Linked DNA regions of Xenopus tropicalis. The protein of the gene in region 2 purifies or fractionates together with the protein of the main gene of each other region. This does not show direct contact. Links are inferred from orthologs where the notes say so. Each region holds a gene or a part of one and is shown on either strand. Other genes may lie near its edges. The genes, in order: gnl2, usp36 and dhx33.

The links.
Region 1: the proteins of usp36 (region 2) and gnl2 purify together in Homo sapiens (affinity purification with mass spectrometry; 3 studies listed by BioGRID and IntAct, with this or other methods). This does not show direct contact. The link is inferred for Xenopus tropicalis from reciprocal best matches to the Homo sapiens genes USP36 and GNL2.
Region 3: the proteins of usp36 (region 2) and dhx33 purify together in Homo sapiens (affinity purification with mass spectrometry; 5 studies listed by BioGRID and IntAct, counting the BioPlex papers as one, with this or other methods). This does not show direct contact. The link is inferred for Xenopus tropicalis from reciprocal best matches to the Homo sapiens genes USP36 and DHX33.

What each region holds. Positions count from the first base shown.
Region 1 is NC_030678.2:84,731,354-84,735,010, reverse strand, and holds part of gnl2 (nucleolar GTP-binding protein 2), read left to right. Parts: intron 1-525; coding exon 526-665; intron 666-3,657. UniProt on the Homo sapiens protein: GTPase that associates with pre-60S ribosomal subunits in the nucleolus and is required for their nuclear export and maturation.
Region 2 is NC_030686.2:31,713,378-31,717,034, forward strand, and holds part of usp36 (ubiquitin carboxyl-terminal hydrolase 36), read left to right. Parts: intron 1-233; coding exon 234-452; intron 453-536; coding exon 537-647; intron 648-1,776; coding exon 1,777-1,879; intron 1,880-2,559; coding exon 2,560-2,627; intron 2,628-3,349; coding exon 3,350-3,420; intron 3,421-3,657. UniProt on the Homo sapiens protein: Deubiquitinase essential for the regulation of nucleolar structure and function. Required for cell and organism viability.
Region 3 is NC_030678.2:101,918,497-101,922,253, reverse strand, and holds the start of dhx33 (ATP-dependent RNA helicase DHX33), read right to left. Parts: upstream 2,703-3,757; 5' UTR 2,565-2,702; coding exon 2,363-2,564; intron 1-2,362. UniProt on the Homo sapiens protein: Implicated in nucleolar organization, ribosome biogenesis, protein synthesis and cytoplasmic dsRNA sensing. Stimulates RNA polymerase I transcription of the 47S precursor rRNA.

The DNA.
Region 1 (3,657 bases), on a different chromosome or scaffold from region 2:
TATTTAATCATGAAGTGTATGTTTTGCTTACAGAAATAAGCTCTGTCCAGTTCTGTTTCATTTATACCATGTTTCTTATATTCACTTAAATATAGTTTGTGCATTGTAAAGCCCACCGAACAGTTATGCTTTACAAGAAGTTGGCAGTATTTGACATTAGACTAAGAATTATATACAGCTGATATTTAAGCAGTTGTCCATAGAGATCTTTACTTTCATCGCACAGGTATCCCATAAGTGGTCTTTCCAGGTTACAACTACCACCTTTTTGTTTGTCCATTTTTACGAAACTGTTAAATGTCTTATAAGAATAACATTCTATGTGCCAAATATGAAAAAATGTAAGAGGGTTATATTTATGATCATTTATTTATACCACCATTTAATCTATATATATTTCAGCACAATTATTATTCACGATAAATGGAGTGTTGGTCCTTCATTCGTTTATATATTCGCTTTACTTGTTTGTACTCAGCGCAGATGCTGTCAATTTGCTTGACTTTCCCAATATTTTTTGAATAGGGAACACCCGTGTTGTTAAGCAGTCGTCTTTGCAAAAATTCCAGGACGAAATGGATGCTGTAATGAAAGATCCATACAGAGTGGTGATGAAACAGAGCAAGCTGCCTATGTCTCTTCTGCATGATCGTGTAAAACCTCATGTAAGTCTGTCTTAAGGTTTTAATGTTTGCTACTAAACATAAACAGCGTGTGTGATTTTTCAGGCATATTTGCAAAATATAAAAAATTTAGCAGAAACAATCTAATGCAGACCAGATTTCTCCCACTGAGCTGCTTTTTGGACTATTCAGCTACTGAATGTATGTATGTGTTTAAAGCATTGTACTTACTTCTAGGCTTGAATTGTGTATTACTGAATGGCATCCCCCATGTAACGTTATTGATACTGCTTCCTTGATGATGTAGTTGGTGATAATTGGAACATAACTTTCCCGTACTTGCTTCTATTTTTTTATTTGTGTAAAGGTGGTCATACATGGGCTCATAAAAGCTGCAGACTAACAGTCGGCAGCTTATCAGGCCATATATGGGGCCCTCAGATGTGCCTGCTTGCTACTTTCCTTAGCTTTGGCTATACTTTAGGCAAGAGTTGCAATGGCAGTTAACCTGATTAATGTGGCCTATAGGGTATAGCGTGCTTGAGCATAAACAGTGACCTCAAAACATTTTCTGGCTCTGAGTTTATAGGCTAAGCTTTTCTGAATCATTGGTGTTATAACTGTTGCAATAAGGGACTAGTAAAAAAAAAAAAAAAAAAAAAATAGTTTTCCCATATGTATAATTTTTCTAATTTGTCAGATTTATCAAAGTTTGGGGAAAATGTTCTTTATTTTTACATTTTATCCCCAGTTTTTTATAGTATCTTTTTTCCTGGGTGAAAACACATGAAAAAATGTATTGAACTGCAAGGCTTTTCTATGAACTTATGTACAATGTGAAAACTGTTTCATGACTTTTCACCATGTTTGAGCATATAACATTGCACCTGTCACAAAAACAAAGCCCAGCTCCAACCATGCTGCAGTGTCATAATTCTCCCCACTCCGTGAGGAACAGGTAGCTTCACTTCTCTTTACCACACACCCAGCCAGCTACACTTTTGATTTAATAGCTTCCAATGTATCCGTTCACTACCATCTGCCACCCAGCACTTCTCTCTCTCCTCCAGTCTTTTTGTCCCCACCAGGATATTCCCTTCTGATTTAAAAGGGGTGGTTAACTTTTAGTATGTTATAGAATGGCCAAGTCTAACCAACTTTTCAATTGGTCTTTATTATTTATTTCTTACAGTTTTTTAATTATTTGCTGCCGCCTTCCAATTTTTTGCAGTTTTTAAATGGGGGTCACTGACCCCAGCAGCCAAAAAAAACTATTGCTCTGTGAGGCTGCAGTGTTACTGTTACTTTCAGGCCCTCTTCTATTCTTATAACTGTCTCTCATCCAACTCCCTAGTTGCTAGGCTAACTTGGACCCTAGCAACCAAATAGCTGCTGAAGCTCCAAACTGGAGAGCTCCTGACTGAAAATAAAATAACCAAAAAAAAAAAAAACTACAATTAATAAAAAATGAAGATCAATTGCAAATTGTCTCAGAATAGCACTCGCTACATCATACCAAAAGTTAACTCAAATGTGAATAACCCATTTAAACATGCACTTATTACATCTACTTATTACATTTAGAATATGTTTACTACCTCTTAACCCACTTTTCTCTAACTTTCTACTTTGTCTACTTTAGTCTTTTTATGCACTGCATTCAACTGAAACTTACAAAAGCATCCATTGTCCCTTTGCGAAATGTATAGGGCAGTTCTCTGTGCTAAAACTTGACCTTTCTGCTGCTTTTGTTACAGTGGATCAGTATATAGTGATACATTAAATGTCATCAACATAAAGATCGTACTGGAATCAAAATGATTTTGAATTGACCTAGAAATTAAGTGTATAGTTAGAAGAAAAGTGGTCCATGGAAAGAACCTTTAGGGACCCCAAGTCTCTAAGAAGTGGTAAGGAGGTTTTATCTAACAAGGAAAGTGTAGTCATTCGAGTTGTAGGAATGGATTGAGAGAGTGGGGGTGAGCGATTAGTTATGAAGGGATTGGATTATAGAGAATCTAGAGAATGATAATTATGGGAAAATTTCCAGAATTATTTTTTCATTGTTGATAGAACATGAAAGGAGTGTATCCACCCCCCCCCCATTCCAACCTTTGCTTAATCTGCCCCTAAGAGAAATTTACTAGCCATCACTGTTCCTTCACACAAGTTAGTCCTGGAACAAGAAATAATAGCTCTGGTATCTTAAAATCAATGCTAAAACTAGGGACCCACCAAATACATTTTTTTTTTCAAATTCAGCCAAAACTTCCATAAAAATTTGTCTGAATCCCCCCTTATCCCCCATCTTGTTTATTCTAGCAATTGAACCCTTAGCGGAACTCATCAGACAGGACCCAAATATTACAGGCCCCCAAATAGGACAATCAATGCATAAACAATGTCTTTATGCAGATGATATCCTTATGACTATAACCAAACCACTAACCTCACTACCCAACTTGATTCATCTTCTAGATGTGTTTGGGAACATTTCAGGCTTAAGCATAAACCATAGCAAATCAGAAGCTTTAAACATCACCCTACCACAACATACGGTCAAGCTACTGAAATAAAATTTTGATTTCAAATGGCAAAAGGCCACCATCCATTATTTGGGCGTTAATATCCCAAATCATGTATCTACTGTATACCAACACAATTATCCACAACTATGGAAAATGGCGAGAGAGAACTTACAATCATGGTCCAAAATGGACATATCTTGGTTTGGGAGAATCTATGCTTTTAAGATGACGCTTTTACCTAAGATACTATATTTATTTAGAACATTACCGATACCTATTCCCGACCAAGACCTTAGCAACATGCAGAGAAAAGTATTTCAATTTATCTGGGCGGATAAACACCCCAGAATTACTCGACAGACTATGGGGCTGATTTACTTACCCACGAACGGGTCGAATGGAGTCCGATTGCGTTTTTTTCGTAATGATCGGTACTTTGCGATTTTTTCGTATGTTTTGCGATTTTTTCGGATTCTTTACGAATTTTTCGGATCCAATACGATTTT
Region 2 (3,657 bases):
ATTTAACTTTGTGTTTGTGTGTGCATGGTAGGGACCTTTTAGTTTGTAAACTTGACCATGGCAGGAACTAATATAAATAATGGCAGTCTCTGTAATTAGCTGTTCATAAAGTTCAGAGCTTTAGAGAAAAAGAATAATAATAAAATCAGTGGCATCAGTAAAAGACAAGGGTGGACAATTTTATTTTCTCTTCTGATTCATGTTACTGCCTTCTGCCTAAATCTTTTTTGCAGATGTTGACCTCTCTACTGGAAGGTCAGATGGGGTTCCTGTTCCTCAAAAAATTCTGTTCCCAGCTGACAAGTTGTCCATGAAATGGGACCGAATCTCCAGGGTCGGGGCAGGACTTCAAAATCTAGGAAATACGTGCTTCCTCAATGCAACAGTTCAGTGTCTTACCTACACTCCTCCTCTTGCTAACTACTTGTTGTCTAAGGAGCACAGCCGCAACTGTAAGCTTTTATTGGAAATCTCTAGAGTAACTTGGATAAATTTAGTATATTCACATTTAAACGTTTATAACTTTTTACCTGTAGGTCAGCAAAGTGGATTCTGTATGCTCTGCATCATGCAAAACCACCTCATTCAAGTGTTTGCAAACAGTGGAAATAATGTAAAGCCAGTTTCTTTCATTCGTGACTTGAAAAGTAAGTGTGAATTTGATGTTTACTCATTAGCTGCATAGTGTTTCATGCTTCTATTTCTCTGATTAAAAAATGTAGTTGTATACTGTTGCTTTTTATTTTAAAGAGGTCTAACTATAATGCTGTTTGAAAGGAACCATGTATGGGAAAAAATGTCCTGCGCTTGACAAAAACAAACCATTTTGTCACTCTTCAAGCTGTCACTCCTACATTGAACCTTATCCATGTGTACGCACTGGATTTTGGGAGTTGGAGTTCCTTTTGCTTTTCCAGTATAAATGTGCACCATCCACCCTATCTTCACCTAGTAACTATCTGGTCTGAAGATTGAGAAGAATTCCTTATGCCTGCTAGCAGTCACTCTGCCTTTAGCACATTTCTCCTGATTGGCTCAGTTAGGTCGTAGACTGCTGCACTGTTTGCTTCTCCTGCTGATGTATATCCTTGTCTCTCTGCCTTCATTGTACATTTCCTGTTTGATGGTCGGCAGAGGGCTACTTTATGGTATGCTTTTCAGTTCCAAAAGAGGGGTGGAAACCTATAAAAAGCTCACCTATTCTGAATAGGGAAATGCAGAAGAATCTTTGTTCCATTTGTAAGTGATACATTCTGGAAGCTAAAGTAAGGGAATTGGGGGGATTTGAGACAGAGGTGCAGGAAAATGGTCAGTTCAATCAGGAGCAAGACATTTATTCCAATTTGTGGTTCCCTTTTAAATGCATGAATCGGATATGTGACTTTTTATTTCTAGCAGACATTGCTCAGACATTGTCATTCACATTTTTAACATTAGTCCTGCTAAATAGACATTTGGCATTCATGCTTGGTTTTCTGATCTGTATTTCAGGAATCTCCATAAACCTAAACATATTTGATATTAAACGTTAAAGAGACCTAGAGCTTTCCAAACCAATTGTATGTTTGCACAAATATTAAATATATTTGTGATATGTTACTCTATTACAATAAATAGGTGGTGTGTGTTTTTATCCTCAAGAAGTATATAGTGTCCACAAATTATTTAATGATCATAAAAGCATTTAGTGGAGCCATTGTTTGTGCTTCTTAACTTTACGTGAAAAAACATTTATTGCTTTTTTTAATTACACCTCTCACCTTTGGCAAAATCCAGAAATTGCACGTCATTTTCGATTTGGGAGCCAGGAGGATGCTCATGAGTTTCTGCGCTACACTATTGATGCCATGCAGAAGGCCTGTCTTAATGGATATGCAAGGTTTGTCTGCATTTGATTCTTCAGTCCGTTAGGGCATTTGACATTAAAGAATCTATTCTAGAATGGCTAAAATGGGCAATTATGTGACTATTTATGAAATTTCATGGTTTCATACACTTTTTTTCTTTTAAATGTGTCATGATGTTATGTTTGGCAAGAAAGAAAGTACTAGTTATTCAAAAAAATTTCAAGATCTGAAGAACAGATTTATGAGTAGTAATCAGCTTGTGTTTGTGAAGGACAAGACAAATGTAATTGCTTTTCATGATAAAGCAAGTGGAAACTTGAACAGAGGATTTGGCGTAGATGTGATCAATTTGTTTTTTAATTTTTAGGTATTCAAAGCAATATCTTATTCCATAAGTGTAAAGTAAAAGTGAACCATAGAGAGAACAAAATTAAAAAAAAAAAAATACCCATGGCCATTATCTTTGGCCATATGTTTGTGAAAAATCAAATGCTATTTAAACGGCTATTGTTTTGGATGGCTGCAACTTGTTTCCTGGCCTTCAAGTCTAGCGTGGAACAATCATTGGATTTTTATATAGTTGATAATATAAACTTAAATTTTAAACCAAGAAATCTGTCTTATACAATACTTCCCACTGCCTCCTATATTTGTCAATATACATTAAAAAAAATAAATAACATTGGAATATATATATTGTTCCTCTACCTAGACTGGATCGGCATAGCCAGGCAACTTCCTTGGTGCATCAGATATTTGGGGGCTATTTGCGGTCCCGTGGTAAGTATGGAGCTTCGTATTTCTCAGGTTTAAAGACACTGGGGGGGCTAATTATGAAAAATAGAGTTTGCTTTTTCCTCCATCGATTTGAGAAAAACTCAAATACTCACTGGAGTATTTTTTTTGAGACCTCGAATTGTCGGGATATATTGAAGATGATAAAACCAACAAAACATTGCCACAGAAAACTCTGCAAATAAAAGTTGGCCAGGTTCTGTAGCAGTCTATAGGAATAGTCTCAAAATAATGTTATTTTAACACATTGGAGTTTTTTTAGCCTCATTAAAATGAATGGAAGTATGTGAGCCAGCATGCAAATTTTTTCCCTCAAATTTTGAGAAATCTGTATTCTGTATTAATTTTTAAGGCATTTTATTTACATATTTTGGCTCAGGTTTAGTTGGATGAGAAAACGTAATTTTTATGCTTTGTCATGCGAAAAGTTATGGGCGAGATTCAGTTTTTAGAGAGAACATCTCTCCTAATTCATAAATTAGGTGTATCCTAACAGCATTGCAATGAAAGTTGGTAAAGGCTACAAATTACCCCAAAAAAGGATTAATGTTAAATGAGGTTAAGACCACAAACAAGTGAAAGAAAAAAAACACCCAGATTCACTATTGAGATTCAGGGTACAATTATTTTTATTTTTTCCCGTAAGGACCTATGTTTGTTTTTAAAAGTGCTATGCCAAATACTAATTATTTTTCTTTTTCTTTCAGTGACATGCTCTGTTTGTAAGAATGTATCTGACACTTACGATCCCTATCTGGACATTGCTTTGGAGATACGGGTACGCCTCTGTAATAATTTCTGTTAATGCTAAAACCACACATTGGTTTTTAAATCTGGTTAAATCATCTCCTATTTATTGAACAGCAAGACCTTATACTAAAAGCAGTCTACCATTAATTTCAGTGTGTGTTTGTAATCTGAATTTAGGTTAGAAAGATTGGTTAAGTTCCAGAAAATAGTTGTAATATGTACAGGAAGAAATCACAAGTGTTTTATATGTACGCTAGGATCAGAG
Region 3 (3,757 bases), on a different chromosome or scaffold from region 2:
AGTTGGTTGTTGTAAGTGCCAATAAAGTGAACAAAAAGGTGGCCATAAACGTTAAGATACACTGGTTTGGCAAGGTTGCCAAAAGAGCAGATCTTTTTCCCCAATATCAGGCTAATTCCATGGCTAGGACCAATTTTATAAATGCAAAGCATTCACAGCATTTGTCCTTGAAAGTACAAAATATTTATTGTTTCATCAATTTGCCATCTACATCAACGCGTTTCGATCCATCTGGGAACGTCGTCAGGATGTAAAACAGAAAGTGAATCACATCTCTTAAGAACCCACACACCAAAGTGAACTACGCACACAAGTAGTTAAAGTGTAACATATTAGCAGAAACTTCTAAAAAAAATTATGTCCAAAGTGTTAAAGTTACAATGTAACATTGAAATTAATCAATATAAAAAGTAGCACTTCATAAAAATGCATCTGTGTCTATTATTGTATCAATCAAAACAAGTGCAAAATCTGCAACAAATTTTAAAAAAAAAGTTAATTACACCACACGTGTACCACATAAAGTGCACATGCTTAATAAAATATGCTAAAACACATGTTAATCATAAAACATAAGTAGCTAACATGTATCTACACCAACATATTCTCATAAATAAATCAATGCAAATGGTATTAAAGTGGACCTGTCACCCAGACATAAAAAGCTGTATAATAAAAGTCCTTTTCAAATTAAACATGAAACCCACTCATTTTTTTATTAACACATCCAAACCCATTATAAAAGCATTTAAAAATCCCAGCTGTCAATCATATATTGCCTGTCCCGCCTCTATGCCTTAGGCATAGGGGCAGGGCAGACAGTTACTTTCACTTTCAATTCAGAACTTCTTAGATGTTGCTGCTCTCCTCACATTCCCCCTCCCTCCTCACCATCTAATTGTGTAACCAGTGCATGAGTATGAGCATCAGGTCCCCCCATACAGGCACAGAAACAAGATTTTGGGGTGATACAAAGCTTGCCTTATAACAGTGTCCACAAAATGGCGACTGTCTACTTCCTGCAATTGTGAATTCCAAGGCTAAAGAAAATAAGATTAAAATAATTTATACAGTGTAAGTGAAGTTTATTTTACTTGACAAATACAATAGAAAAACAATTTGGAATTATTTCTTAAGGTGGCCATACACGGACCGATTTTTTACTTACAAACGACCGATTCCCGAACAATCCGATGCTATCGTTAAGTTATCGTATAGTTGGTGGTGTACGAACGATCGTCGGCCCACTAAACGAGCCGACATTATCGTCCCCAAAATCGATCGGCCAGGTTTAAAAATTTTGGTCGTTTAACGATAAAATCTGCCAGTTGGTGTGAGTGTCAGACATTTGTCTTTCAACGATTGTTCTCTGCGCATGTCACGATTGCCAGCAGCGGAAGTCAACGACATTCGATCGTACGTAGATGTACGATCGTACGTATTTTACGATAATGATGCGACGAAATCTTTCCCGAATTATCGTTGCCCGTGGATGGCATATCGTATGGGAACTCGATCGCCATACGATCGTTTGTCGATATAATCGTTCATTGCACAACGAGCGAAATCGCCTCGTGTATGGCCACCTTTAGGGTGACAGGTCCCCTTTAAGATTCAAACAATACCAATTGCGGAAACAACCACAAATAACTTCCATAAGTGTCTCATGTAGTAAACCCACTGACTAACAGACAATGATTATTGTAAAAGGGACAACTCATTATAATCAGGACATATATATATAGTTTTGTTTAATCTAGGTCTATCCATAGCAATGAGAGAAGCTCTAGATAAAAGCTGTCATATGATCACCCACCTGCTACCCTTAAACTACAACTACATCTATCTCCCAACAGCCTTTAGTTACATGCTAAAATATATACTGCTATAAAACACCTTCATAGGAGATCCAAAGTAACAGGTTTAGCATGAGAACCAGACTTATAAAGTTTATGGACATACTAGGGGGGCTTATTTTGAAAGAAACTGTGATTCTACAGGCAGCTGTAGATACAAATATGAATGATATTTCATTGGTTTCCATAGGTTACTGCCCAGATACAAATGTGTTCATAGATTAGCCCCAGATGTTTGGAATACCCCTGAAACTACCCTAGGGATGATTTAAAAGGCGTGTAACCTCTTTAGGAATTCAGGGAGGCCAACTGCATTTTGGGACGCAAATGGGGAAGTGGATTAGAACCCGGAAAGTAGAAAAACCTTCTCTATAGACTGGTACGCTGAGAAGCCCACTTAACTAACGATGGCTCAATTATTTATTTTTGCCCCATATTAAATATATGATCACATTCCCAGGCTGCCTTGGCTCACTGCAGCTCTGAACACTACTAGCATCACACACCTATGATCACTACACTGTCCAGCTTCCGAAGCTGCGCAATGATCTGAGACCGGGCCAGGTAGATAGGGAGACTCCGGCGCTGTTCCTCCACCGTCATTTTCTTAGGGCCACAATGAATCGCCGCCTGCATTTTGGGTTTGACCGGAGGGGAGCCCGGCTTAAACTTTTTAGCCGGGGGCTGTTTGTGGCCATGATGATTCATATTACCCGCCGGTAATCCGAACTCTTCTAGAACCGTAAGCGCTTCAGTAGCCCAGCATGTTCCTGGCGCACGAAAGAGACGTCATAGCTGTCCTCTGATACACGTGCTTCCTGTAGGAGAAGAAGCAATACCGGAAGTGCCTTATAGGTACTGCTTCACACGTAGGGCAGCCCTTCTGCTTTTCATTCAGTGGTCATGTTTACACTAGATGAACTGTATGGTGACATCATACAAATAACTTCGCAGTATGGTATAGGGAGTAATATTCTGAGACAATTTGCAATTGGTCTTCATTTTCTATTTGTAGGTTTTTAGTTATTTCAATTTTTTGTTCAGCAGCTGTCTAGTGTGGAGTTTCTGCAGTTATCTGGTTGGTAAGGGTCTAAATTACCTCATCAGGCAGGGAGTGGTTTCAAAGACTGGAATATGAATAGGAGAGGACCAGAATAGGAAATAAAGTTATTAAATGTTTCAATAACAGTAAAAGTGGTGCCTTTAAAAAAAAATTGTATTTTGGCTGCCGAGGTCAGGGACCCCCATTTGAAAGCTCTAGTTAGAAGAAGAAGGCAAATAATTGAAAAAAAAGCATAAATAATGAAGACCAATTGAAAAGTTGCTTAGAATTACCCATTCTATAACATACTAAAAGTTCTTTTAAAGGTGAACTGCCTCTTTAAGGGCTCTGGCACACGGGGAGATTAGTCGCCCGCGACAAAACTCCCTGTTCATGGGCGACTAATCTCCCCGAGTTGCCTTCCCCTGCCATCTCACCGGCGAACATGTAAGTCGCCGGTGGGATGGCACACGCGGCGGTGCGATTTCGGCAAATCGCTGAAACAGCCTCGCAAGGCGACTAATCTCCCCCGTGTGCCAGAGCCCTAAAGAAGCTTTTTTTTTCTATTTGCTTTCTGCTAAAGTTACATTTAGTAAAAATGAACATTTAATTGTTAAATCATTAATAATGTCAGGTTTCTATGGCACCATGGGAAGTTAAAGAACCATCTCGTGAAATCTGTTTTCAATAGGGGGCCTCTTTTGGACCAAGCTTATCCTGAAACGATCATTTAAAAATTGATTAGTCCATCATGGAAAACAACCGTTTCAACTTATATCGTCTACATGAAGCTAGACAATCTGGTAGCTGCCTGCCGTATCCTGCTAATGATTGGACAATGGGCAAATTTTATTGTAAA